Oryctolagus cuniculus: one gene and its partners. The protein of the gene in region 6 interacts with the protein of the main gene of each other region in a pairwise test. Links are inferred from orthologs where the notes say so. Each region holds a gene or a part of one and is shown on either strand. Other genes may lie near its edges.

Evidence for each region.
Region 1: the proteins of TNIK (region 6) and SMARCE1 interact in a two-hybrid assay, tested with the Homo sapiens proteins (2 studies listed by BioGRID and IntAct). The link is inferred for Oryctolagus cuniculus from reciprocal best matches to the Homo sapiens genes TNIK and SMARCE1.
Region 2: the proteins of TNIK (region 6) and SRGAP3 interact in a two-hybrid assay, tested with the Homo sapiens proteins (2 studies listed by BioGRID and IntAct). The link is inferred for Oryctolagus cuniculus from reciprocal best matches to the Homo sapiens genes TNIK and SRGAP3.
Region 3: the proteins of TNIK (region 6) and SPTBN1 interact in a two-hybrid assay, tested with the Homo sapiens proteins (2 studies listed by BioGRID and IntAct). The link is inferred for Oryctolagus cuniculus from reciprocal best matches to the Homo sapiens genes TNIK and SPTBN1.
Region 4: the proteins of TNIK (region 6) and HARS1 interact in a two-hybrid assay, tested with the Homo sapiens proteins (2 studies listed by BioGRID and IntAct). The link is inferred for Oryctolagus cuniculus from reciprocal best matches to the Homo sapiens genes TNIK and HARS1.
Region 5: the proteins of TNIK (region 6) and AGTPBP1 interact in a two-hybrid assay, tested with the Homo sapiens proteins (2 studies listed by BioGRID and IntAct). The link is inferred for Oryctolagus cuniculus from reciprocal best matches to the Homo sapiens genes TNIK and AGTPBP1.
Region 7: the proteins of TNIK (region 6) and PAFAH1B1 interact in a two-hybrid assay, tested with the Homo sapiens proteins (2 studies listed by BioGRID and IntAct). The link is inferred for Oryctolagus cuniculus from reciprocal best matches to the Homo sapiens genes TNIK and PAFAH1B1.

The regions. Positions count from the first base shown.
Region 1 is NC_091448.1:21,886,080-21,890,091, reverse strand, and holds the start of SMARCE1 (SWI/SNF-related matrix-associated actin-dependent regulator of chromatin subfamily E member 1), read right to left. Parts: upstream 2,801-4,012; 5' UTR 2,662-2,800; intron 966-2,661; 5' UTR 921-965; coding exon 914-920; intron 740-913; coding exon 696-739; intron 1-695. UniProt on the Homo sapiens protein: Involved in transcriptional activation and repression of select genes by chromatin remodeling (alteration of DNA-nucleosome topology).
Region 2 is NC_091441.1:117,330,229-117,334,421, forward strand, and holds the start of SRGAP3 (SLIT-ROBO Rho GTPase-activating protein 3), read left to right. Parts: upstream 1-1,393; 5' UTR 1,394-2,139; coding exon 2,140-2,206; intron 2,207-4,193. UniProt on the Homo sapiens protein: GTPase-activating protein for RAC1 and perhaps Cdc42, but not for RhoA small GTPase. May attenuate RAC1 signaling in neurons.
Region 3 is NC_091433.1:148,185,219-148,189,361, forward strand, and holds the start of SPTBN1 (spectrin beta chain, non-erythrocytic 1), read right to left. Parts: upstream 2,801-4,143; 5' UTR 2,660-2,800; intron 2,119-2,659; exon of another isoform or gene 2,005-2,118; intron 1,562-2,004; exon of another isoform or gene 1,105-1,561; intron 1-1,104. UniProt on the Homo sapiens protein: Fodrin, which seems to be involved in secretion, interacts with calmodulin in a calcium-dependent manner and is thus candidate for the calcium-dependent movement of the cytoskeleton at the membrane.
Region 4 is NC_091437.1:28,312,302-28,315,801, forward strand, and holds part of HARS1 (histidine--tRNA ligase, cytoplasmic), read right to left. Parts: intron 1,138-3,500; coding exon 1,018-1,137; intron 1-1,017. UniProt on the Homo sapiens protein: Catalyzes the ATP-dependent ligation of histidine to the 3'-end of its cognate tRNA, via the formation of an aminoacyl-adenylate intermediate (His-AMP). Plays a role in axon guidance.
Region 5 is NC_091432.1:136,379,261-136,382,760, forward strand, and holds part of AGTPBP1 (cytosolic carboxypeptidase 1), read right to left. Parts: intron 2,787-3,500; coding exon 2,657-2,786; intron 1,653-2,656; coding exon 1,521-1,652; intron 1-1,520. UniProt on the Homo sapiens protein: Metallocarboxypeptidase that mediates protein deglutamylation of tubulin and non-tubulin target proteins.
Region 6 is NC_091435.1:109,213,870-109,217,369, forward strand, and holds part of TNIK (TRAF2 and NCK-interacting protein kinase), read left to right. Parts: intron 1-813; coding exon 814-925; intron 926-1,128; coding exon 1,129-1,215; intron 1,216-1,724; coding exon 1,725-1,895; intron 1,896-2,351; coding exon 2,352-2,495; intron 2,496-3,500. UniProt on the Homo sapiens protein: Serine/threonine kinase that acts as an essential activator of the Wnt signaling pathway. Recruited to promoters of Wnt target genes and required to activate their expression. May act by phosphorylating TCF4/TCF7L2.
Region 7 is NC_091448.1:48,125,360-48,128,859, reverse strand, and holds part of PAFAH1B1 (platelet-activating factor acetylhydrolase IB subunit beta), read right to left. Parts: intron 385-3,500; coding exon 300-384; intron 86-299; coding exon 11-85; intron 1-10. UniProt on the Homo sapiens protein: Regulatory subunit (beta subunit) of the cytosolic type I platelet-activating factor (PAF) acetylhydrolase (PAF-AH (I)), an enzyme that catalyzes the hydrolyze of the acetyl group at the sn-2 position of PAF and its analogs and participates in PAF inactivation.

The DNA of each region.
Region 1 (4,012 bases), on a different chromosome or scaffold from region 6:
CATTTCAGGGAGGCCTAACAGTTGCTGTGGAATCTGTTTCATGGGTTGGGCAACTATTTTACATGCTGACCAAGCTGGGTCAGAGCTTGCTGGGTGAAGAAGCCGGTTCACCGCTATCAGGCAGATACTTTGAAACATTCTCAATTCCCAAGCCAATCAAATCTAATTACAGCGTGGAGTCAAATTTCATAGCAAAATCTGACCCACAGATAATGAAATCCTCACTTGAACAGCTTGAAAATAAAGATTTACAATGAGTGTAGTTATAGAAGTAGGAGCTTTGTTTGATTTAATATGGAAATTTTATATATAGAGACAAGAAAGGAGAGAAAAATGTAACCAGCTGAAGGTTAGGTTTAAAAAAAAAAAAGCCAGAATGAGCACTCACTCAATATCAACTTAAAGACTCTGAGAAAGAAGTGTTAAACTTGTTAACTATTTCCCATTAAGAAAAAAAAAAAATAAAACAAGTAAATTCAGCATAGGAGGTAGGAATTTCATAGTATGTTTCTTTAAATGTTGGGGCTGGTTCAAGATCAGAGGCAAAGAGTTATTTTATTTAGAAGGAAGTCTGTTTTTTAGCTGAATTTTCATCCTGTTACTGTGATGATTGAGTGACTGTCACTGGAAGACATCTGGGTTTTTGTATCAAGGCCAGACTCGGCTATTACATTAACAAGAAAATTAAAACTTACTGTTGCAGGAGCTGGGGTGGGAGGTGGGGCATAAGATGGTCTTTCTGTTTGAAAGAAAATAAATAACTTCTTGTAAACAACTGAGATATAATACTATGCAACAAAACTACCAATGGTCCTGTTTTGAAGAAAAAAATGAGAGTATTTTGGAATTCCCACTTGCTAGGGCATTAGTCTCTTATTAACATAGATTGATAAATATAAAAATTGAAACTTACTTGACATTTTGGAAGATTAAGTTCTCAGTTCCTTAAGAATGAATCTGAGACACTAAAATAAAAAAAAGGAAAAAAAGGAAAAAAAAAGAGAATCAAAACTCAGCAAGCATGAGAATGTTTCCCTAAAGAGGGCAGTTTGATTGGTACTTTTGAGTAAAACTACATTATCTCTCAGTACTCAAGCCTTGCGCGTATTTTACTAGTCCTTGTAGGTCATCTGGGTCATCAGAATTAAATGACTCGAGTAAGTTCCTGGGATATTTAAGTATCAGAAATATACTCTCAGGTTCTGTCCTAAGCTGCCCCACCTCTCGCACGGTGAACACTTGGTAATTGGGAAGGCAGTGGTCACACACTGTGCTGTGCCACCTGTCCACACCAACAAGGCCTGCTGGATGCTGCCAGCGCCCGGTCAGTTCCACCTGGCTTCTGGTCTAGCAACCTCTGTTCGAACAGGGCAGCTCTGTATTCCCGAAGGCAGCGGAAAAGGTAACAGGTATACTAAATGCGTTTCACATTCTTTTAAAGCGGCAGATAGCTTCGGACTCGCTGGAAATACATTGAATTCACTGTTCCCTCATCTGCACTCCCATGCAGAGCTAGGATACTGCTTACTGTAGCTTTTCAAAACATCTGCCAATATGGCTGGACTGGGTGCTGCTCTCGTCACCGTATCCCAGTCTCTAGTGCGATTCCTGATAGACGTTGTCCTAGGGTTCCCTGCTCACAGTAGGGCCAGAGCTTGTCCTTCACATCAACAGTCCCGAGGGGTTTAAAAAAAAAATCCGTGTTTTGGAAAGAAGACAAACTCCTATCCTGGAGCGCCTTCATCCAGCCTCACGGGAGATAAGCAGGAGCTACCTGCAGCACCAGGGTGCAGGTCGGAGCCCAGGGTGCTTTCCCCCTCTGCCTTTAAAGCCCGGCGGGAACCTCTGACTTTGTTGCAAATTTCCTTGCTGCTCAGCCGGCGAGCTGTCAGCATCCAGGAGGCCTTGCGGTGTGGAGCCCTGACGGGACAGCCAGCAGCTCCCTGCACTGGGCGCTTCACGCTAAGATACACTCACAGACACTGCTCGCCCCCGGCGGAACGCAGGCTCTCAGAGCGGGCCAGGGCCCCTGTGCACCCCCTGACGCCCTCCCTGCGGCCTGGCCCTACACAGACGCTCGGCAAGCATTTGTGGAATAAGGCAGGACAGGCTTAGGAGAGCAACCCTGCTGTCCCATTTTACAGATCAGAAAGGGGAGTCTTGCAGACTTCAAAGTAACTCTTCGAAACCACGCCGCTAGGAAGCGGCAGGAGCTGGGGTCCGCACCCAGGCCAAGTCCGCTCACGCCAAGCCGGCCCCGCGGGTCCTCGGGGCCAGGGCCCCGGGCCGGGGGTCCCTTCCGGGGCTGAGGGCCCTGGGCTCGCCTCGCCCCTCAGGGCTGCCTCGGAGGTCGCTTCCTCCACGCCTGCCGCGGGGGATGCACTTTACCAGTAATTCCCCCAAACCGGGGTATGCGTGGGCGCCCTGACCGGGTTCGGGGTGGCCGGAAGGGGCCATCCTGCCCCTGAGGAGGGCCCCCCGTGAGGACTCCCTCCCCACGCGCGCTCCGCTAGGCCTCAAGGAGGCCTCACCGGCTCTCGGCTCCGGCCCCGCAGCCAAGCCTGACCCCCAGCAACCCCCGGGGACCCGGGGTCCCGCCGAACGGAGGCACCGCGACCTGCCACCCTCCAGACCAGGTCGGACCCACTAGGAAACACTCACCCGCGGGCAGAAAAAGCGCCCGCAGCTCCGGCTTCGCTTCCCTTTGTCCCGCGCACGCCCCGCCCCTCACGTCCGGAGCTTCCGCGCTCGCACTTTCCACACTTTTTCTCAATTTCTTCTCAGGCCCCACCGACTGTCTTCGGAAAAAAAATAAACCCGCTCCCGAGGACGCGGCGACGCTTAGTACAGCCAAGGATTTTTTTCCAGGCCCCGTACGTTCCACAAAGCTCCTTGGATTTGGATGCTTTCCCAGTCGGGCGCCGATTCGTCACGGCGAGGAAGGCGGAGGTGGCCCGATCGCGATAGGCCCGGTTCCCGCGGCGGTGAGGGGTCCGAGCGGCGGCGGCGGCGGGAGGTGCCGAGCCCTGCCCGAGGGCGTGGTGGCGAGGCCCGCGGCCTCGGCTTCCGCGCGTGAGGCCGGGAGACGCAGGAGCCGCTGCAGGGGGAGGCCGCGCGCGCCTCGGGCTCCGGCCGCGGCCGCCCCCGCGGGACCCCCGGCGCCGGGTCTCCCGCTTCCCCTCGCGTCGCTGGGCGGCAGGACGAGTGTTCCCCGTGCTTCTCAGAGCGGACGACGCGGGCGCGGAGGACTCGGCCTGGAGGGAAGCAGCACGGGCTTTGGCTGGCCACAGGTTTCCGAGCGAGGGCCCTGGTGTGGCCTTGCAGCGCCGAGGGTGCCTGCTGCTGGGCTCTGCCCCAGATCCGCCTTCGCCGGCTGCGTAGACTCCTGTGCCGTTTGGGATGCAGCTCAGCCGTGCCCTCGGGAGGCCCTCTTGCAGTGCCCCCCCCCCCCCCCCCAACAATCCTTCCCTTGTACCCCCAGGCCTTTCCATCTGGCCCTTAGGAAGGTGTGTCAGCTTTGCAGTGCCGGTCACCGCTGAGGGTCTGGAGCCCAGCTCGATGCCCGTGACATGGGCACCGCGGCAGCCCTCTGGCCTGCTCCAGCCAGGGCCCTTACCCCCCAAGTCGTTGGGGCTCTTTGCTCACCGTCTGGAGTGAGTGGCCCCTTCCTGGGCTGTGAACACCCTTGGGTACTGTCGTAGGCCCCTGGTGGGAGAATGAACAAATGGACACCCCCCGAATGGTACTCACTTGGGCACGGGGTGGGCCTTATTCTTAGCCGCCCTTAGCGCCCCTCTGGGACGAGCCAGCAGGAACAGGGGCCTATGGGGGCGTCCCTGCAGAGCTGGGGACAGCTGATACCGGGGCTTCCCCTGCGAATAGGAGAGAGTGCAATTCAGGAGCCTAATGGGGGAGCGCCTGAAGGGAGAGGGGCTTGAGGGGCGGCTGTGGAATTGCTTTTCCAATATGAAAGCATTAAAGGATGGGAGGAAGACACGGGGGACGGCCTGGG
Region 2 (4,193 bases), on a different chromosome or scaffold from region 6:
CTTCCTATATCTACTCCTCCACCCCTTCCTCTGTAAAAGACCAATGCTTACATCTGTGGTGGGCACAAACTCCTTGTCCCCAAGGAGTTTGGCGGGGGATATAACTGGAGACGCAGAATTGCTGTCATTTATTGAGTGCTTACTCCGTGCTGGCTGCAGCTTAGCTTTGAGGTCTTGCCTTTGAAAAAATGATTCATTTATTTATTTTTATTTATTTGAAAGAGAGATAGAGATATCTTCCATCTGTTGGTTCACTTCCCAAATGGCTGCAACAGCCAGGGCAGGGCCAGGCTAAAGCTAGGAGCTGGGAACTCCATCGGGGTCTCCCACGTGTGTTCCAGGGGCCCATTGAGTTGGGCCAGCTTCTGCTGCTTTCTCAGGTGCGTTAGCAAGGGGCCGGATTGGAAGCAGAGCAGCCAGGATTCAAACCAGTGCTCGGATATGGAGTGCCGGCGCTGCGGGCAGCAGCTGAGCTCGCTGTGCCAGGACACAGGCTCCAGCTTTGCATTCTTCCTTGATGTTTCCAAGAGTTCCCCTCCTCCTGAATGGCCCCCACCAGGCAATATTCTTTCCCCACAACACTTAGCCTTCCCTACCCTATTATATAATTGACTCATTATGTTGATTTCTCGTCTTCCCTTCCCAGGGCCTCTAGCTTGGTACAGCTCCAGGGGCACCATTCACAGCATGCTGTGCTCCAGGGCTGCTTTTGCTGAGAATAGTCTGTGAATGGTGGTGGCTCCCAGAGCTGTGTGATTCGCAGGCCCTGGAGTTCCAGGATTGTGTGTGTGTGTGTATTTTGATTTTCGTATTCCTGTGCCCACTGTGGTGCTGCACGTAGACTCAGCTTTTGGGAGACAATTGCTGGAAGCATAAGTGGAAGAGTCCCTGCCCCTCACCCCCTAGAGCCCATTTTACTGCTGAGGAAAATGGGGCTCAACAAGTCAGGAATTTGTCTAAAACCCCACAAGCCACTGGCCCAGGTCCTGCTTGCATATCTGGTCTCACAGGCTTTGCGAAGCTGTGTGTCTGGAACTCTGGGCATTGTCCCTGCCACCAAGTAATTGCTCAACAAACAGCAGTGCCCTTGGCCACGTGGGTCAGGCCCTCCCCTCAACCCCAGACCGAGCACACGCCATCTATGGAGAGGCTGCGTGCAGTTGCACACAGCAAAGAAAAGGGGGATCTTTTGTTTTAGAAAGAAAAATCCCTGACCCAGTGGCTGGCGGCTGGAATCTGCGGGAGGCTCCCAGGCCTTTCCAGCCCTGTTCGTTTTCCTGCTGTCTTTCCTTTTGTGAGTGCTTCTTCCCCTTTCTGCTTGCAGTGAGTTCTGCTCTCCTGTAGGCTACAATGTGTCAGTTGTTATAAAATCCGGGAGGCGGAGCCTAGTGACGAGGCGAGGCGGTGGGGGAGAGCTCGCTGCTGCCGGCCCTGCAGGACGAGCAGTCGGCCCAGGGGTTCGCGGAGCTTCGGCGTTGCAGTGCGAAAACTTCCAGCTTGCTCTGCTGGCTTTGATCCTCGCTGGACATCAGATCCGAGGCGCCGAAGGGAGGGAGGATGCGAGATGACCGGCCCTCTGGCAACCTGACCATCTCCTTAGCCTTGGAGAGCGAGCCGGGAGCTGACTGCACGACCCAGGAGGCGCCCCGCCTCTCCGTGGATGTGTGTGAGTGAGCGAGCGGGTGTACTGTGTGCATGTGAGGGTGTGTGTGTGTGAGTGTGGATGTGTGTGTGCACACTACAACTGTGTGTAAGCGTGTCTGGGTGAGTGTGCGCATGCACGCATGAGTGTGTATGTGTGTGTGTGTTTGTGTGTGAGTACTCTTGGTTATTATTATTTTTTTTTTGGAAGAAAATTCTTGAAAATCTGGGGCAGGTTACCATGCTCCTAGGGTGGGTCTTCTGCAAGAGGAGCTGACCAGAGCAAGCTGCTGGAGCCATTTCTCTGCAAGAAAAGAGAATTTTCCTCCCTGAAGGAGAAGGATTTGGGCCCCTGCTCTGCAGCTCAGTGGAAGAGATTAGCCCCTAAACCTGTGAAATCGACCAGAGCAGTGTGATTACCGTAGCCGGAGAGAGGACTTGGGAAGAAAAGGAGAAAGAAAGCCAACAGCCTGCCAGTGCCTTCAGCCGCGTCGGAAGATGTCATCTCAAACTAAGTTCAAGAAAGACAAAGAGATCATCGCTGAATACGAGGCTCAAATAAAAGGTAAGCTGTGGGCTGGGAGTTTCCCCTCCTCCCCTCTCGCTCGGCCCCGGCCCCGGCCCCGGCTCTGCCCTGCTCTCCTCCCTGCCATCACGCAATGCCGCTGTGCATCAATAATCTTATTGTGCAGAGGAACGGCCGCGGCCACACAAGTCCAGGCTGGTTTCAGCTGCGGGGAGCTCGGGCTGGAGTGTGGATCAGAACACGGGCAGCGTTCTCTGCATTGCAGGTGTGCGAGGAGGATCCTACGCCTGACTTGGGGAGTGTCGCGGGCACTCCATCATCTTGGCAGTGACATGTCACTCTCAGGCCATTTTGACAGTCTTCCCCATCAGGGCAGAAGCCCCTTAGGACTGCTGTGTGTTGCCCCGATCTGCTCCCCCCGCCCCTGCTGTGGTTTTTGTTGGTGGTGGTGGTTTTGTGCCTGCCTCTCCCTCCGGCTGGAATTCACATGCATGTGCACAGGCAGGCGGTGGCATCCTTGGGCGGCACTTCTTTGTCGGTGTCTCTCGCTGGCCTGGATGGCCATGGATTAACGGTTATGGGGCTTATTGATCCAGGCTAATGCAGGCATTTAGGCGTAAAGAGGAAGCTCAGTGCAGAGAATGTGTTCCCTCTTGCTGTGCCGCCCAATGGCTGCGTGCACCAGCGTTTAGTGTCAGCAGCTTTCGTTCAAAGCCAGCACCTCAGTGTGCCGTTTGGGCTGGTAGGCGCTGCCCGGCTTCCTGGATCCCGGGGAAGCCTGCCGAGAGGGTGGGATGACCGCTGGCTGCGAGCTCCAGCTCTGGTGCCACTGGAGACAGACTTCTGGGGAAGCCGCTCCCTGGATCCCTGTGAACCAGGAGGGCGCTTCAGGGAAGGACACGACCGCAGAGCTAAAGGCAGCTGGGGTGGGGGAGTCTTCGTTGGAGCAGACGGGGGTCTTCGCTCACCCGCCACGGCCTTGGTTCAGCCTGGGCTCAATCTGCCCTGCTTACCCTTTCTCCAAGGGTGTGCCCCAAGGGAAGCCTGGGCCCCTGCCCCTCGGTGTCCGTCTTCTTCCTGACTGTGACGCTCCTTGCTGCGACACAGGGTGTGCTGTGGTCTCTGAAGGAAAGAGGGCATGCAGAGTCGTCCCCGGTGGCCATCGGGGCCCATGTTTGCCGTTACCATTTGACCGCCGAGCACCTTGGCTTACCTGGGGCTTGAGCCATTTGAGGTGGCCACACCTGCTCCCAGTGCCCCTGGCAGGGGGGCAGCCTTCCCAGGCTTCTCAGTTGCTCTGCACGCTTCAGACGCTGGGGAACTTTGGGAGGGCAGCGGCCACCAGGGCAGGGCTCTGTTTTTCTTACCCTGGTCTCGCCCACAGTCTTTGGCCTTTTAGTTCTGGTGAAGCCAGCATGCCAGTGACCACCAGGCAGACCCTGGCCTTTAAGAGCAGAGAGCCCTGCCTTCCCTGGTCTCCTCCTCCTCGGCTTGCAGCGCAGGGGCGAGCACAGGGGCTTGCCAGGTTTCAGCCTTGCTGACAGTCCAGAAGCAAGCCCTTGACCGGTGAACGCGCTCGGCCTCTCCCTACAGAAGCAGAGCCTGAGAACACACACTTGGCCGCGAGTGTGTGCCTTATCAAGCTCATCTGGCCGGTGGTGTTTTTAAGGAGGGGCTGGGGACGGAGAAGTGGGGTTCTGGCCAGTCTGGGTTTTGGGAGCCGGGTAGGAGCGGGTGCGTCTTGTGTCTGGAGGGCTGCGGCTGTTGGGCCTGTGAACTTTACTCGGAATCAGCTAAGCACCGATGCCTCCGGCGGATTCTTTTACTCTTTACCTTTCACCTTTTTAAACAACCGATCAGTACGTAACCAGGTAAGGAATTTCGTCAGGAAATTTGTCTATGCAATCTCATCTCTAACATTCTCGAAATTTCTCTGCATTCTGGTCAAGGGAATTCAATTTCATTTCTGTGGAGTTGGCACCTGCGAGACGCGGGTCCAGCGACTGCGCTGCCCCAGATCCTCTGG
Region 3 (4,143 bases), on a different chromosome or scaffold from region 6:
AGTGACAGCGGCTCCTCCACTGTCCCTGTGCTTCCCAGCCCCTCAGATGAAGGTCTGGTCGGTCACTCCAGGGACGGCAGAGTTACAAAGAGCTTAACCCAACAGAATTCTGCACCTGGTGTGTAAGTCAGAACAGCTAAACCTCCTGTGACATCAACACAGGATATTTCTTACAACATAGTAAATCCAAAACGTCTGGATAACCCTTGTGAACAATACTCGCAGAAGTCTTCATGCAGTACCATTTTTCACAATCAGCATAATGAGGAAGCCTGAATCCAAAAAGCCCTATATTTCAAATGGCCCTCCATTAAAGAAACTCAAAATAATGCACATACAGCGCATGCATTTACAGGAATGTGTACTCCGCAGAGTCACATTAGGACATTAACTTGGATTCATTAGAGTTTAAAAAAAAATAAATAAAAGCAGGCACACCCTTGGCTCTGAAACACAGACCTCCCCTTCCAGTTAGCAGTCTGAAATTTCCCTTTTCACACACACAGACTCAGAAGAGTCTGAGCTGACATTTGCAATATATGCCACTTGCCAAATCCCACACTGAACAACTGGATTATAAAAATGGCATGTAGAGGGGAAGTGCCCTGAGCACTAGCTGCAGCGGAACAGAAGAGAACACTGGGAATCATCTGCTGACCTTGGTGGCCTCCCCTTCCTGAGCCCTCCCCAGTCGCATCTGCTAAAAAATACACATGCACCAAAAACATATAAACAAACATAAACGCAGCCCATTACCATCGCAATCCCATTAGTCACGCCTGGAGATTGAACTTGGCTATCTGAATCAAGACATCTGAACACCAATTTACCATCACTCATCTACCTAATGTTCCTTAATAAGGAATCCAACTAGCTTAGTTGTATCTGACTTAAAGAAAACGCAAACGGTGAAAACAAACACAGGTTAAAGGAATCATTTACTACCCATCAGAAAATACATAAATTCATTTTCAAACGACTCCCTGAATCTGAACGCCAGTATTTTTTTTATGTCTCTGGAGCATAAGAACCACAATACATTAACCATCTCATTTTATAAAAATGGTTTCCTATAGGAAAAATTCATATTCTGTTTGTACCGACCAAAGACAGATGAGGGCATTGTAAAACGTCATGTCATAGCTGTGCAGGTCCGATTAATAAACAGCAACTTTTCCCATACGAAGAAATCGATGTCTAGCTGGGCTGCGGTTAGAGGTTATCGACGATCCACAGGAAGACGCTGCGACTCCCACACCAGCTGCACCAGCGTCCTCGAACATCCCTGGGCCCTGTCCTGCCTGCAGCCCCTCCCTAGGGCGCCGCTGGTCGGAGATCAGATTCCGGTCCGCAACCCTCAGCCTGCATTAGTGCTGCAGGGCACCCCTCCGTCCCCGCACAGCCCAACGGGCAGGGCGGGAGGGGGTCATCCCGACCGAGCGGACTGTCCCCCCCTCCTGTCTAGGTGGCCTGGTCCTCCCGACGCCTCAGCGTGCAGCTGAGGCAGCATGACGAGGTAGAAGCGCCGCGGGCCCCGCCAAGGGCAGCCCGGGCCCTGGGTGGGGCCGGGCGGGGGCCGCAGGCGCCGAGTGGCCGTGCCAAGCCCCGCCGGCGAGACCCGGGGAAGCTGCGATACTGCAGCATTGTGCTGCATCACGGCGAGAGACGCGAGCCATCCATCTTGCCAAAAAGGAACATCCCCGCCCAAACAAACCCCACCGAACCCATTTCCCCCCCTGCCCACGCTCGCCCTCTCCTCTCTCTCTAGCTGGCCAGGCTTTGGATGAGAAAAATTACGGACAATGCTTGGTGTACCGATCCCCGCTCCTCCCCCCATCTGATAGCAGCACCTGGCACCTTTCCTCCCACAAAAACAAAGGGAGGCTCCCCCCCCCGGAAAAAAAAAAAAAAAGCAGGCCGCGGGCGTGGTGTGGGGGTGACGACGAGAGGGGCGTCCAGCCCACCTCGCAGGGCAGGCCAGAGGGTCCCCGCGCCGGTACAAACCTGTTGAAGGCAGGGTGGCAGGAGCTGCAGGGCGGGCGCGGCGGCGGCTCCGCGCCCCGAGGAGGCTCCCGCCCAGCCCTGGGGGAGCGGGGGCGGGCGCGGAGGGGGCGGCGGGCTGGAGGAGGGGGCGCGAGGGAGGACGCCGGCAGCCGCCTCCGGCTCAGCTGCAGCGCGGCGCAGCCCGGACCACGCCTGGCCGCATCGCCGGTACCGTTACGCGCGCAGCCGGGCCCTGTCAGCGCCGCCCCCGCTCCCCACCCGCCCGGCCCGAGGCCACCAGAAAATCCCGCACCAGCCCCGGGCCAGGGGCTGCGGCGCCCCGCCGGAGGGAGAGAGGGAGGGAGGGAGCGGCGGCGGCGGCGAGGAGGGATCGGCGCTGCGGACCGGGAGGTGGGGAGCGAGCACGGGTGTGTGTGGCCGCCTCACTGCGGAGCTCGCCGCCCCCCGCCCCGCATCACCCTAGCACCGACGAGCACCGGAGACCCAAGCTCCCCGCGTCGCCCCCGCCCGGACTCTGCAGGCTCCCCGCCCCCACGCCGCTCCCGGGGCGCAGGGCAGCGGCGTCCTCCGGCCCAGGGCCCGCGCCCCTCCTCCCGCCCGCCCGAGAGGCAGCCCCAGTGAGTTGGCATCTTCTTGCCTGGGGGCCTCTACCTACCTCCAGGGATGGGGTGGGGGCGCCGGGGTCCCGTCCTCCTCCCGCTCCTCGGCGGCCGGGCGGGTGGGCCGGGAGGCGACTCCGCGGGGCTGTCCGCGGCTGGGGCCGGGGCTCACAGGACGGGACCGGTGGGCGCTACGGCGCGGGTCTGCGCGCTCGCTCCGGGAGGAGAGGCGGCCGAGGGAGGGACTGGAGGAATCCGCAGCCTGCAAGGCAACAGCTGCACTGATTCCGGGGGCTGGGCGGGAGCGCGGGGGGCGGGGGGAGGAGGGAGCTGGCAGGGAGGGGGCGAGGGGCGGGGAGAGGGAGCGCGGGCACAGGCGCGGGCGCGCACGCGCGCGCTCTCCCGCACGCCCTGCACCCGCCTCTCCGCCGCCTCCCTCGCTCGCGTGGATCCTCCCTTTCGCCTGCCCGCGGCTCCGGTCCGCAGCCCCGCCGCCGCCCACCCGGCGCCTGCTCTGTGCGGGAGCCGACCGCCAGGCGCGTCCACGCACGCAAGCCGAGGTTTTTCCGGGTCCCGGCGGCGGGGACCAGCCAGGACGGGGTGGGCACGGCTTGCCGCTGCTACCCGCGCGGAAGGACAATGAGGGCTTTGTCCCCACAGCGTGCGAGGGCCAATTTCACGTTTAATTTGAGGCTAATTCGATTATCGCCATGGAAAGGGGCAGCCTAATTTTCTCGTGACTCGTGCAACCTCTTTGCGCCCGCGCTGTGTGCGTTTAGGACACGATCCGGGACGGCGTGTTTAGGCAGGTCTGGGACCTGCGTTGGCTCAGCAGCTCCTGGATTTGGGTGGCGACGCCTTTTGGGTTCGCCCGGCTTACAGGATGGCGGCGACATCTCGGTGGGAACCCTTGAGCTTTGCGGGAGGGAGAGGAGTTTCTGGGCGAGGATGATGGGGTCCTCCTCTGCCAGTGCTTTGTCACCTGCCTTAGTAGCACAGCCCACAAGTGGTTGGCCCGACTCCTGCCTCTGCCGCCGGCGCGCAGGCTCTCCTGCAACCTGAAGCCAGGTGCACTTCCCTTTGGGGCTGCTCTCGGTAGGGTCGCCCTGGCGCCGGTGGGCGACCTCCGTCGGTTCGAGGACTGGCACTGCTCCCGTCCGTGTTCTCGGAGACGTTTCCCCGAGTGTCTGTCAAGGGCCAGCGCCCCTGCCCCCACGGGCTGTCACACCCCATCAGCCTCAAGGCTACGTTAGGAATTCTGGAACCGCTGCTATCGGAGTAGAAAAGATGGTGGCATCACCGTGACCACGGATAAAACGCTCTGTAGAAAACACGGTCTGGGGAAAGTGACATCCTGACTGCTCTGTAAGGTGCCCACCGTGGGTTTCCAAGTGGGTTGACGAACGCCAGGGCTCTCCCTCCGCCCCACCCCGATAACCCAAGAACAGAATGTGAGAGGGTTCCATGGTTTGGACCATGCCTCTCTCAGATCAACAGAACCCTGCCTGATGGGTTGATATTTACAAATAAGGCTAAACAG
Region 4 (3,500 bases), on a different chromosome or scaffold from region 6:
TTTTAAGATTTTTTATTTATTTATTTGACAGGCAGAGCCACAGAGAAGAGACAGAAAGGTCCTCCCTCTGTTGGTTCACCCCCCAAATGGCTGCCGCAGCCGGAGCTACACCGATCCGAAGCCAGGGGCCAGGTTCCCCATACCTAGTCTCCCATGCGGGTGCAGGGGTCCAAGCACCGGGCCATCCTCCACTGCCCTCCCAGGCCACAGCAGAGAGCTGGACTGGAAGAGGAACAACCAGGACTAGAACCTGGCGCTCATATGGGATGCCGGCGTCGCAAGCAGAGGATTAACCAAGTGAGCCACGGCGCCGGACCCCAAGAGTTTGGGTATTTTAAGTATAACGGAAATCACTGAGCTTTAAGCAGGGAGTGGTGAAATTTGTTTTGAAAATTCTTATTAACTTACGGGTAGAGGGTGGGAGTGAGTGAGGGAGAGAGAAAGCACTCCCTATTTACTGGTTCCAAATGCCCACAATGGCCCTGGGCTGAACTAGTCTAAAGCTGGGAACTCAATCCAGGTCTCCCACGTGGGTGGTAGGGACCCAATTGTTTGCACCATCACTGTACAAATCACTGTCAGGAAGCATTTGCAGGAAGCTGGAGTGAGGAGCTGGAGGCAGGGCGTGAACTTAGGCTCTCTGATATGGGACGTGTGCATCTTAACTGCTAGGCCAGTAACAGTAAAAACAGTAAAAAACTAGAACCAATGTCAAGGTCTACCAATAGAAGACTGGTTGCATATACATATGGAATGCATGCATCTAGAAAATATCTTCATTAAAATGCAGGGGAAAGGAGCTAGAATAACCTCCACTCCTCATCAGGGCTCTCTTGGAAGCCATGGACACAACCAAGACAAATAAAAGGCTGCTCCGTGCCACTGCTGAACTCTTCCTCATTGGAGAAGGCCTGTGTCCACAACAGCAGCAGGGTCTTTAGGCCCTCTCTCTTCTCATCCTCTTTGTTATTTGTATGTCCACTCTTCCACCATGCAGTTTCTCCTTAAATGTCTCACCTTTAGTTCAAACACAGGCGTATCAATGACTTCTGCACCGTGGCGCTTGAAGCAGCGGATGATGACATCAAACACCTTCTCCCGGACTGCCATCTGCCGGGGACTGTAGTCTCTTGTGCCCTTTGAGTTAAAAACAGCCAAGGAACCAGGGATGAGATTGAAAAACAAACATGAGTAAGTTATAGAAATATAAAAGGATGACTTCAAGAACGAGAAAAGCAAATCCTTCCCCAAACTTAGATCTTCCTACAGGCTGCTGGGCTGTAAAATGGGTACAGCTAATTCCCTATTAAGCCCACACCCATTTGCTGTCAGCCTCCCAGATTCCATTTCCTTTTCAACTTGGTTCTAGTTTCTAGAATTCTCAGAACTCTTTTCTCCAAGGAATTTTTCTTTTTTCTTTTCTTTTCTTTCTTTCTTTCTTTTTTTTCTTTTTTTTTTTTTTTTTTGACAGGCAGAGTGGATAGTGAGAGAGAGAGACAGAGAGAAAGGTCTTCCTTTGCTGTTGGTTCACCCTCCAATGGCCGCCGTGGCCGGCGCACCGCGCTGATCTGATGGCAGGAGCCAGGTACTTCTCCTGGTCTCCCATGGGGTGCAGGGCCCAAGCACTTGGGCCATCCTCCACTTCACTCCCTGGCCACAGCAGAGAGCTGGCCTGGAAGAGGGGCAACCGGGACAGAATCCGGCGCCCCGACCCGGACTAGAACCTGGTGTGCCGGCGCCGCTAGGCAAAGGATTAGCCTGTTGAGCTGCGGTGCCGGCCTCCAAGGAATTTTTCTAAAAACTCTTTCTGGGAATAATAGAGTATTTCCCTGCCTAACACAAATAAATACCTGCCTGATAACAAGAACATAACCAATTCAAACTCAGTCAGCTAGTTGAATTTTAAACTCTACAAGCGCTTTTCTCTCGACATGACTATTCTTTTGAATCCTAATTAATAGTACTATTTGTTCTCTAATTTGCTTCTGACAACAGCCTTAAGGCATGGGCAGAGTTTTTTTTCCCCTCTGAATATCACAGCCCACACCCCCCCTTTTAAAAAAGATTTTATGTATTTATTTGAGAGGCAGAGTTACAGACAGTGAGAGGGAGGGAGGGAGGGAGGGGGAGAGAGAGGTCTTCCATCCGCTAGTTTACTCTCTCCAAATGGCCGCAACGGCTGGAGCTTTTTATTAAAAGCATTACTACAGTCAGGAGCAATTTACAGTTTATCTGACATGGAAGCAATTAGGTACCCAATTCTCTCTTTTCTCACTCATAACTTATTCTTCTATTTATTTGTTTTTTTTTTCTCACTCTATTTATTCTTCTATTTATTTGGTTTTACACCGGTGCGTTACCAGAGCACCAGACAAAGGAACTGTGGTGCTGTCTGCAAGAACTCTTCCAGGACGTTAACTTTTCCGCGACAGCTTAGGCAGAAGGATTCTGTGGCTGGATTACAGGACACTGAGAAGCCAGGCATTACTTAAGGCCACTCAGCAAGCGCGTGGCAGTCAGGACTAGAACTCTGTTCTCCTTCCAGATCAGTTTCTACTCAGGGCTTTTACCACTTACTCCAGCACCTTTTGGTCTCAGGCCCTCGTCCCACTCTTGCTATTTATTAAGGTTCCCAAAGGGGATTATACTTATCAGTATTTGCTGTATTAGAAATTAAAACTGCAAAAATGTAAGGACATTTACTAGCTCTTTTAGCAAATAATAAATCCATTACAGATTAACATAAATGATACTTTTGGAAAATGCAACCATTTTCCCAAAACAAAAAGATTTAGTGAGAAGAATGGCACTGATTTACATCTCTGCAAAGCTATAATGTCTGGATTGTCAAATATGCTTTTTATATTCAATCTATTGCGATGTTGTTTGAAGTATGTGAAGAAAATCTAGCCTTATACACATAGGTTTTTATAAAAGGAGGAGCATTTTATAAACTTTTCAGCTAAACTGGTGTATGGAACTACACCAAAAATTCAACTAGTACTAGTTTCTTTCTTCCTTCATTCCTCCTCTACCTCCCTCTCCCTATCTTTTAGGTTTTATTTATTTGACAGGCAGGCAGAGAGAGAGAGAGAGAGAGAGAGAGAGAGAGAGAGAGATCTTCCTTGCACTGGTTTACTTTCCAAATACCCGTAACAGCCAGGGCTGGGCCATGTAAAAGTCAGGAGCCACTAACTTGATCCAGGTCTTCCAGAGACATGGCAGAAATTCGAGGACTTGGGCCATCATCTGCTGCCACATTAGCAGGAAGCTGGATTAGATGTGGAGGCAGCGGGGTCAGCATTGTGGCATAGTAGGTTAAGCCACAACCTGCATGCCAGCATCCCATATGGGTACTCGTTCAAGTCCTGGCTGCTCCACTTTTGATCCAACCCCACAATGTGCGTGGGAAAGCAGCAGAAGATGGCCCAAACACTTGGGCCCCAGCCACCCACATGGGAGACCAGATGGAGTTGCAGCTTCCTGGCTTCAGCCTGACC
Region 5 (3,500 bases), on a different chromosome or scaffold from region 6:
TAGAGGTCATTTGATTCCATGACACAAAGAACACAGGCAGCCTCTCCACGTGGAGGAGGAAAAACAGAAATGGTTCTCCCCTAGGGCCTCCAAAGACTATGCAGTCCTGCTCACACCTTGATTTTAGCTTACACTTCTGATCCAAAGAACCGCACGTTCATAATACATTGCTGAAGCTCCCATACTTGTGGTACTCTGTGGAAATGCTCCCTCTACTCTTCCCCCTCCCCGCCCCTGTCTTTCTGTCTCTGTCTCTGTCTCTCTCTCACATACACACACACACACACAGATTCCCCTTAACAACCCTGAAATGTAAGATAATATTAAAGAAATGAAGAAAAATGGACACCAAAGGTAAACACATTTGCTCTCTCGTGACTGTGCCGCAAGCTCATTTCTGGAGGCTAAGTAGGAACTCCCAGAGGGAAAGCTGACAGAGAAGCAGGAAGGATGGTGATGGCAGTGGTGTCCTAGAGGCCAACACATGGGAAAGTGCGCCCTCTGCCATCCTCCGCGCCTCACTGGTGACTAGTCCTGGGCTCTGCTAACCTACTGTCTCCTTCACTTAACGTGGCCTCACACCACAGGGCTCCAGAGCCGCGGACGGCAGGCAGGGCAGCGGCATGGCTGCTGTGCCCACACGCTGGCATTCCACTCTCTTCTGCTGCCTCTCACCCCTGACCTGGGCCTCTCTCTTCAATTTAGTTTCCTCACACTTTCCTCGTTTTCAGAATACTCCTTTATTTTTGTGAGACTATCTTCCAGTAACTCCAGGAAAAGGCTATTTGTGATGTAAATTATTAAGATTTTCAAGGTCTGAGGACATCATTTTTACTTTCACACGGATGCACAGGATGGAGTATGAAATTTTTAGGTTGGAAATCTGAGAATTGTGAAGGCTTGCTCCACTGATGTTTTAACTGGGGGCAGGTGGATAGGATTCCAAGGAGAGCAAAACGTGCACAGTACTTGGGAATAAGACTAATGAAGACAGCAGACCTGGCTGCAGAAATTTTCTATCTTTGCTGAAGAATATAAAAGACTAAATTACACAGACAGGCATAAAATTCACAAAGAAGAATAACAGGCATAAAAGAGTCACGGTAATTTTTTTAAAAGAACAAGAAAGAGAAATTCGCCCTACCAGGTATCGGTACTAACTTAACACTAAAATGATATGGTATCCAAAGAAACAGAACCAAGACTGACCGCAGGTACAGAGAGCCTGGAACATATGGCTGCAGCAGATCAACACAGGAGAGACTCTAGGGAAAATGGTATGGCTACAACTGATAGCCAGGGGAAAAATAGAATTACACCCTCACATTTCACACAAAAATAAATTCCAAATAGATGAAAAATCTAACTACAAATCGCAAAACCTCAAAATAAAAAAATCTAAAACATAAATGGCAAAGTGTCAACATCAACGAATCTGAGTAGTTCATGAATGTTAAGTCACTTTCTGTAGTTTTACACGCTTGAAACTGGAAAACTCCTGAGTCATCTGTAATAATTACCCTGTATCCCATGTCTTCCACAACATCACATGAAGAGGCATTTTCGTTGGTGTGCCACACTGTCTCTTTGATGCTGCAGCCATACATAAACACATTCTTCTTTCGGGAATGGCCATGATAATCACAATAAACCTTGAAAAAATAACAGATTTTTAAAATAACAAGGTTTCAAATTCATATACTGCTAAGGAAAGGTAAGTAATATCACGCCAATGAACAAGTCTGTGTCCCTTCGTCGTTTTATTGTAACATAACCACTACTTAACAAGTAGAACCAATAAAAGTAATGACATCTAGTTTTGGAAAGGATTTATAATTAATTCTAGAATTGCTAAATGCTTTGAAGATCCTACATCAAGCAGCAAGTCCCACTCTACCTTTTGTATCTACTTTCCATCACTCAAAAAATAATCAAATCTACAGCTAGGCAACACTGCCTCAAGACTACTAAAACATTTATTAATTTAAAAGAATATAAAAATGTTCTCATGAAAAGTATCATAAAAGAGGTATGGTGTCAATGCAATTTTTAAGAGCATCATTTTTAAAATGAAGAATAAAGGACAGACTCACATGTCAATTTTACCATTCTGCAAAGTTTTTCCACCTTCCCCAAAGAAAGATGAAGTAATTTAAACACTGATAAAAGAATATTCTAATGAAAGGCTGCTGAAAACACAAGGAACATACGTGTGTGTGTGTGTGTGTGTTTGTTTACAGAGTTCAGGACAGTCTCACAACACACCTGTACCACATTTCCCATGTATGAACTGGAGACATCAGTATCTGAGCTGACAAAAGAATCCAGAAATACTCCTAAGTTTGCACTAGTGAGAATTTAGAAGACATACACCATTGCCTTAGTACTGTTCAACAGTGAAGTTAAACCCCCAAAATTCATAACCAGGGATTATCAACATTCATAGACCAAAAAGAAAAGCAACCTGACAACGTAATACAAACACAGTATATTAATCTGAAACCAAAGTGACTACACGAGAAATTGATAATAAACAGACATCTTAAGTAAATTGCTTTTGACATCATTTAAACAGAAAATACGTACAAAATACTGAGTTACTGATCAACAAAAACAACATGGATTAGACTAAGTAAGAACAAACACTGCCACCTACCAGGGGTAAACGCTTCACAGCGGCCAGGTACTGCAGCAGCCCTTTAGCGTGGTAGATTGTCGGGTGCAAATCTGGGTTTGGACTCTGCCACTGTCGGTTTAAATCCTCTCCACTTAAAGAACAGCGGTGACTACACACACAGAAACACAGAGATGGAAAACACTGCTAACAGTACATCTTCTACATACTTCTGACCCCTTCATGATTTTATTCCACTAACTATTTCCAATAGGTGTAGGTGGTGGGCTCTACCCAATACATGCTATATTCATCAGGTACACAGCTACTCCACTATTTGCTGCGTGCAAGATCTTGTGTCGCATGCATTAAGCTGTGGTTTATAATCAAGGTTTTCCAACTACATAAAAAGGTCTCAATTCTGGGGTTTTGTTCCATTTATGAAATGGATTAATGGTCACATCTTCCATTCTGATTACATCGTAATCATTGGCTATGCCGACATTCTTTATATTGACTGCATTAGTTGTTTTCTAAGAGTGCTGAGCCCTCTTTCTGAGAAGAATAATGAGATAAACAGGATTCACATTATTGTAAAAATTCAAATACATTTTACTTATCTCCAGGTATTAAATATTAAAGCCACCAAGCAAAAACTTAAGCAAACCATCAGGTAGAAACAGAAATATAAATAGAATTCTGACTGGTTTATATGTTTCTGTATTAAAAACAGACATAAAATTAGTTCCATAACTGTAACATACATATTAACTAAAAAGATACTTCCTTTTTTAAAAAATTCAGTAATTCACTAAAAAATGAGCAACATTCATGTTACTTCTATTGAATAAACAAGATGTGGTATTGTTCTCTTTGGAAATGCTCA
Region 6 (3,500 bases):
TTCCAGGACAGTGACAGAAACCTCAGGTTTTAGCAATTTCAAGGTCAACAGTTGAGGTTCATATTTATATGAATTTTGTCGAACTATGTTTTACTTGAATAAAAGGAGGTTTAAATGATTTGCTTATGAAAAATAAAAACAAATAGATGGGTTCTTAGCATATTCAAATTCCTGGACTCCAGGTAGTGTGAGAAGGGAGAAGTGAGGTGTCTTTCCTGTAAAGAACAGACACAGGAGCCAGCGCCACGGCTCACTAGGCTAATCCTCCGCCTTGTGGCGCCGGCACACTGGATTCTAGTCCCGGTCGGGGTGCCGGATTCTGTCCCGGTTGCCCCTCTTCCAGGCCAGCTCTCTGCTGTGGCCAGGGGGTGCAGTGGAGGATGGCCCAAGTACTTGGGCCCTGCACCCCGTGGGAGACCAGGATAAGCACCTGGCTCCTGCCTTCGGATCAGCGCGGTGCGCCGGCTGCAGCGCGCTGGCCACGGCGGCCATTGGAGGGCGAACCAACAGCAAAAGGAAGACCTTTCTCTCTGTCTCTCTCTCTCACTGTCCACTCTGTCTGTCAAAAAAAAAAAAAATTTAAAAATAAAAAAATTAAAAAAAAGAAATTAAAAAAAGAACAGACACAGGAGAAGCTATAGAGTAACCATTACCAGGAGGAGCTGGAGAGGTGCCCACAATGATTGGGGGGTTGGTGCGTGAACAGTGGAACAGACCTTGTGATCTGTTGAAAGCCCAGCAAATATTGTTACGTTGTCTGTTCCTGCAGTATTCATTTATCTGCTCTGTTTGGTCTTCCTGTTTATTGACTAGTATGGCATGGGGAGCAGCACCAAAGCCTCCTTCACCCCCTTCGTGGACCCCCGAGTATACCAGACCTCTCCCACCGATGAAGACGAAGAGGATGAGGAATCGTCAGCTGCAGGTAGGCAGAAGGCCCCAGTGTTTTAGAAACAGCTTGATTTCTTTCTGACAAAGCTCAATATAGAAATTAGTCATCAGTTCAATAATTAAGCCATTTACTGCTTGGTCCTGGTCTTAAAAAGGAAGATTTTGTGGTTATTTTTATAGAATTCCTAAAACAAAATTTTTGTTTCCTTTTTTTTTTTGTTTGTTTGCTGCTGGTAGGAAGCCAGAGGTATCCAGGAACCCTAGGAAAAGTTGTTCCTCAGAGACCTGTGAACTTACCACCTATTTCCCAAAAACAGTTTCTGGGTATAATTCTATGCACGCAGTAGACACCTAATACTAAGTGCGTGTTGAGTTGTGCTGAGTTTAAGGTGTGTGCTTCCCACCGTGAAAAGTCTGGCAGATTTTAGAGGATGGGCTTGCTTTCTAGACTTCTGCAACTAACTAATCATCAAAGTTATCTCAGGCCAGTTTTTTAAGTGATGTTGAATTTCAAAAAGCAAGATTTCTTGCATATATTACAAGAGGTAGGGAAGGTGGATTTACTTTTTTGAGATTATTATCAGTTCTCTAAACATGCCAAGTAATGCTTATGTCTATAAGCCTGTCTTGCTAGTGGATAAAATACTGCTTCTACGAATGACTTATACTTCATGCTACTAAAAATAAGTGAAAAGTAAATGTAGTCTCAGAGTGTATGTGCCTTTATTATAACACGCACTAAACAGGAGAAATAGTGTTTTGAAGCCCCTGCTCCGTTTCTCCATTGGTTATCTTTAAGATACCACTGATTTCTCTGATTCTTTTTCTCAAAGCTCTGTTTACTAGTGAACTTCTTAGGCAAGAACAGGCCAAACTTAATGAAGCAAGAAAGATCTCAGTGGTAAATGTGAACCCAACCAACATCCGGCCTCATAGCGACACACCAGAAATCAGAAAATACAAGAAACGATTCAACTCAGAAATACTCTGTGCGGCTCTGTGGGGTACGTTGGTGCTTTATTTTCTCTTATTTTACTACTCATTAATGAGCTGACTCTCAAGCATGCAGAGCCTGTGGATCTCACCATCAGAGTGACACTGGTTGAAGGGGGAGTCTTAAGGAGAGTCAAGAAAGAGGCGATTGTTCCAGAAAAAGAACACGGGCATGGCTGTGCCTTAGGCTCCTTTTGACAAGGAGTCTCTATACAGGGTAGTAAACAGCTAGAGGCAATGAAGGCTGCTACTGCTTCATTTAAAAAAACCTTGTAATGTCATTACCAGAGGGACAGTGATATAATTACTGTGCAAGAACTTCTACTTCTACACTCCCTACTGTAGCACCTGCTCGCTCATTGATTTATATTTACAAGATACAGTTTTTTATGCTTTATTGGGACCACGGAGGCAGAAGGCTTAAAGCCCTTAAAAGTCAGTCTTGGGTTACTTCTTAAAATTTGCAGGTGTAAACCTTCTGGTGGGGACTGAAAATGGCCTGATGCTCTTGGACCGAAGTGGGCAAGGCAAAGTCTACAATCTGATCAACCGGAGGCGATTTCAGCAGATGGATGTGCTAGAGGGATTGAATGTCCTTGTGACAATATCAGGTATGTTACCAGGATCACCACATTCTCCAGGTTGGCATAGGTGGGCAAAGCAATCACCTTGTTTCCAAAGAAACAGGAAGCTCTTCCATTCCCAGTCAAAAAGCAACACAATAAATTATAGCAGTATAGCCAGAGTGAGAGCGCTGGAGTTTGACTTCCAAAGAGAGGTCTTACTTCTGCATTAAAGCTAAATTATGTAGAAATCTTTTACAAAGACTGTATATTTATAGGCATTTACTGTTGTCAGGATTTGGTAAGCATGACTCTACTCAGACATTGTTTCATAAGGAGGCAACACTGGGCTCCTGGGTTGAACTTTAAAGAAAGTTTAACTCCTTGAGGAGCTGTACTTCGGTTTGGAGAAAATGCCTTCACTTGATCCTATAATTCCTTTCTTATTTTTTTAAAGATTTATTTATTTATTTGAAAGGCAGAGTTACAGAGAGGCAGAGAGAGAGAGAGAGAGAGAGAGAGAGAGAGAGGTCTTCCATCTGCTGGTTCATTCCCCAAGTGGCCACAATGGCCAGAGCTGGGCCGATCCGAAGCCAGGAACCAGTAGCTTCTTCCAGGTCTCCCATATGGATGCAGGGGCCGAAGGACATGGACCATCCTCTACTGCTTTCCCAGGCCATAGCAGAGAGCTGGATTGGAAGTGGAGCAGCCTGAACTCAATACGGGATGCCAGCACTACAGGTGGCAGCCCCAATTCCCTTTTTCTTTTAACTTTCCACGGAATGCTTAGCATTTTCAGCTCTTTTTATCCACCCCAAATAAATTCTTTTTGCATTATTATTGGAGTTCAACTCTGTATAGTCCTGCCTTCTGGTTAATTGCTGTCTTGACTGTTATAATACCAAATCAAAATTACAGCCACCGATCTGTCAGTCACCTACCAAGAGTGTAAATACTACCACAAAATTCACAGTTAGTCTTGATTATGTTGTTCGTGCCGCTTCCCCCTTCTTAAGCGTGTAACCATTTCCATTTCCTCTTACCATGAGGCAC
Region 7 (3,500 bases), on a different chromosome or scaffold from region 6:
ACTTAGTTACCTTCTTTTGTAATCTAATAACAGATGTCCATTTTTTTTCCAAAAGACCAGCATACTTCTTATCTAATTCTTCATTCTAAAGAAAAATAAGAGAACTTTAAAAAATTAAAATATGATGGTTCAAGCCAGACATCATTTAGCTGTGAGCCCAAAATTAATGAAAAACATTATACACCAAAAAGGAGTAAAAACAAAGTTAAATGAAAAGTAAATCACATTAATAACAAATTGACTATACTGATGTTTGAATAAAATCTACTCACTGAATAACTACAAAAAGTACAACATACCATATCTAGTTCAGCTTCCTTTTTAAAAACGGAATATGCCTCTTCATAGCCATTTGAACGAAGATAATCTGCTATAGCTCGATTTCTGAAAGAAAACAATTTTAAATGACTCCTAAAAACTTCTCATTTTTATATTGAAGAAATAACATTTTACTTAAAATCTCGTTAACCTGAATTAAATCTTCAGTTGAAAACTATACCCTCCAAATCATACAAGTAGCCGGATTTCATAAAAAAAGGACCTCGTTACCTGTACGACACTCAGCCCACTATAATACACCCATAATACTACATTATTCTTAAGCTTTACCTCACAAGCTGTGAACACTCTACAGACCAAGATATCGCTTATGTAATAGATATCAACCTGTGATACTATTCATCAATTTAGCTTCTTACTCCTTGTTACTCACTCAAGGGCTTGCAGCTGGAAGTTAGTTTTGCAGAGAAATGCTCGATAAAGTTCTAAGTATTTTTATATTAGAATCACCTTAATCCAGAGTGAGTGAAAACAAAGCATGAGCTCTAAACAGTGCACTATCACAGCAAGAGACAGTCCCTAAGAATTAGGACTCGGCGGTTAGAAAAGCTGAAAGAGCAATGCCTTTTCCTGATTGTCTCTGTCTCAGTCCTCTCAGTGAAGGGAAAATCAGCTACCTCCCTAACAACCTATTTCAGTTTTGTTACTCATTTTTTGGGGGCCTTAAGTCTTACTGTAATAGATAGTTTTATCTGGGATTTCCTTTAAAATATATATTTTTTAGAATATTTATTTGAAGGTTAGAGTTACAAAGAGAGACAGAGAAAGGTCTTTTATCTACTAGCTCACACTCTCCAGATGGCTGCAATGACAGGGACTGGGCCAGGCCATAGCCAGGGGCTTCCTCAGTTCTCCCCTACAGGTGTATAGGGCCCAAGGACCTGGGCCACCCTCTGCTGCTTCCCCAGGTGCATTAACAAGGAGCTGGATTGGATTTAGAGCAGGGATGCTGGCACCGCAGGCTATGGCTTAACCCACTGCACCACAGTGCTGGTCAGAGAAAATGGTTCAAAATCGAAAGCACTAAGGTGAAGGACTTTTACCTGCAAACAGATCCCTAGACTGAGCTTGGATTTAGTGTGAAATAACCACACTGGCAATACTCCAACTGTTTTACTTAAAACTATTTTAACAATAACAAATAAAATCCTTTGCTTTCTAATATAATCAAAAGTTCATGAAAATGCCAGGATTCGATTTTAAGCAGTTTAGCTGACTTCCACACTTTCACTGTTCTTCCCCCTTCCCCCCAGAATAACTTCAGCAGTTGTAATATCAGTCATAGCATCCTACCACTATATCCGTAAAATTTTAAAGTTACTCTGAATGCTATCACTGACAAATTTTTAGGGATGCAGAGATCACAAAGCGTGCAGTAGGAGACAGAGGTGGCAGCTGTTTATCCCAGGTAAAGAAACACAGAGGTTTTGACTAGCAAGTGATGGAGCTGGGAATGAGAACTTTCAAAGCCAAAATGATTGCAACAGTTTTTCATATGTACTGTAGAATCTTAAAAGTAGAAAATAAATGTTCTGGCAGTTCTATAATTCTCCTAACTAATTGTTTAAATAAGATAATATGGTTAAAGGCTGACAAACAGATCTTTTCTTAGTTGATCCATTAAGAGATAGAGTGAAAGGCTGATCTTGCATATTCAAGATTTAGGACACTGCATGTTCTAAAAGGCTGCAATGCAGTGGCCCAATGAATCATCAAGGCTAAGCGGGTGCTGTGAAGATAACAAAAAGACCAGGCAGAATTAAGCATGTAGGCGTACACCGCTAGGGGCATGCCAGGAGTCACCATTAGTGCCTTTCACCAAAAAATAACCCTTGCATCACCCCAGGCTATGCCCTTTCAGACAAACATCAAGATGAAACTACATGGAAGGTGGGTGGAGCTGTTTGGTGCAGCAGTGGAATGTCACTTGGATACCTATATCCTGTATCAGAGTGCCTGGGTCTGTGTCCTATTCTGGCTTTCTGCTGATGTACACTGGGGGGGTGGGCAGCAGATAATGGCTTGGATAGTAGGAGTTCTGTCACCCATATAGGGGACCAACATTGAGTTCAAAGTTCCTGGCTTCAGCCTGGCCCAGCCCTGGCAGTTGCAGGCATTTGGGGAGTGAGCCAGTGGATGGAGGAGCTGTATCTGTCTCTCAAATAAATAAAAATTGATTAAATAAAACAAGATTGGACATGAATTGATAATTTTTTTTAACAAAGCTAAATAGTGCTGGGGGAAGATGTGAATAAAGCCTATTTCAAGGGCAGAGACATAGAGATGATCATTCTGTAACCTGCTGCCACAGGACATCAACTAAATGTCAGGACAGGTAATGTAATTTCTTTTTTCTTTTCTTATTATTTGGCAGGTAGAATTATAGAAAGAGAGAGAGAGAGAGAGAGAGAGAGAGAGGTCTTCCTTCCGTTGGTTTACTCCCCAAATGGCTGTCACAGCCGGCACTGGGCCGATCCAAAGCCAGGAGCTTCCTCCCGGTCTCCCATGCGGGTACAGGGGCCCAAACACTTGGGCCATCCTCCACTGCCCTCCCAGGCCACAGCAGAGAGCTGGACTGGAAGATGAGCAACCGGGACTTGAAAAGGCACCCATATGGGATGCTGGCACCACAGGCAGAGGATTAACTGAGTAAACCACAGCGCCGGCCCCAGGTAATGTAATTTCTTAAGTATGTTACAGTAGCCCACAGAGTCTTTGGGGAAAGGGCAGCAAAGATATGTTGAGTTCCTCTCTGCAGGTTTGGTTCCCGCCCCCCCCCCCAGAAAAACTTTATTCATCACACAGATTAAAAAATAATTCCCATCCCCTAGAAATGAGCTTTAAAAAAAAACCCACAAAAATATTTCTCCCACCTCCCCGTTCCCACTGCATCCCATTACTTCCAAATAAAAGGCAAAGGAGAAAAAAATAGAAAACCAAAAAAACACACTCTCTTCCCCTCCACCCCAAACAAAATACTGCAATTCCCCAAGGGAAAAGAGGAATTTACAATGGAACAGCTGGGAGCAGAATGGAGATCCTCGGGCTACAGAATCCTGCAGACAGACACTCAAAACAGAAAAACAAACACAAAAGGACAAAAAAAAATACACCACCAGGCAATCTGGAGGGACAGGGAGCTGGAAAAAGAAGGGTGGGGC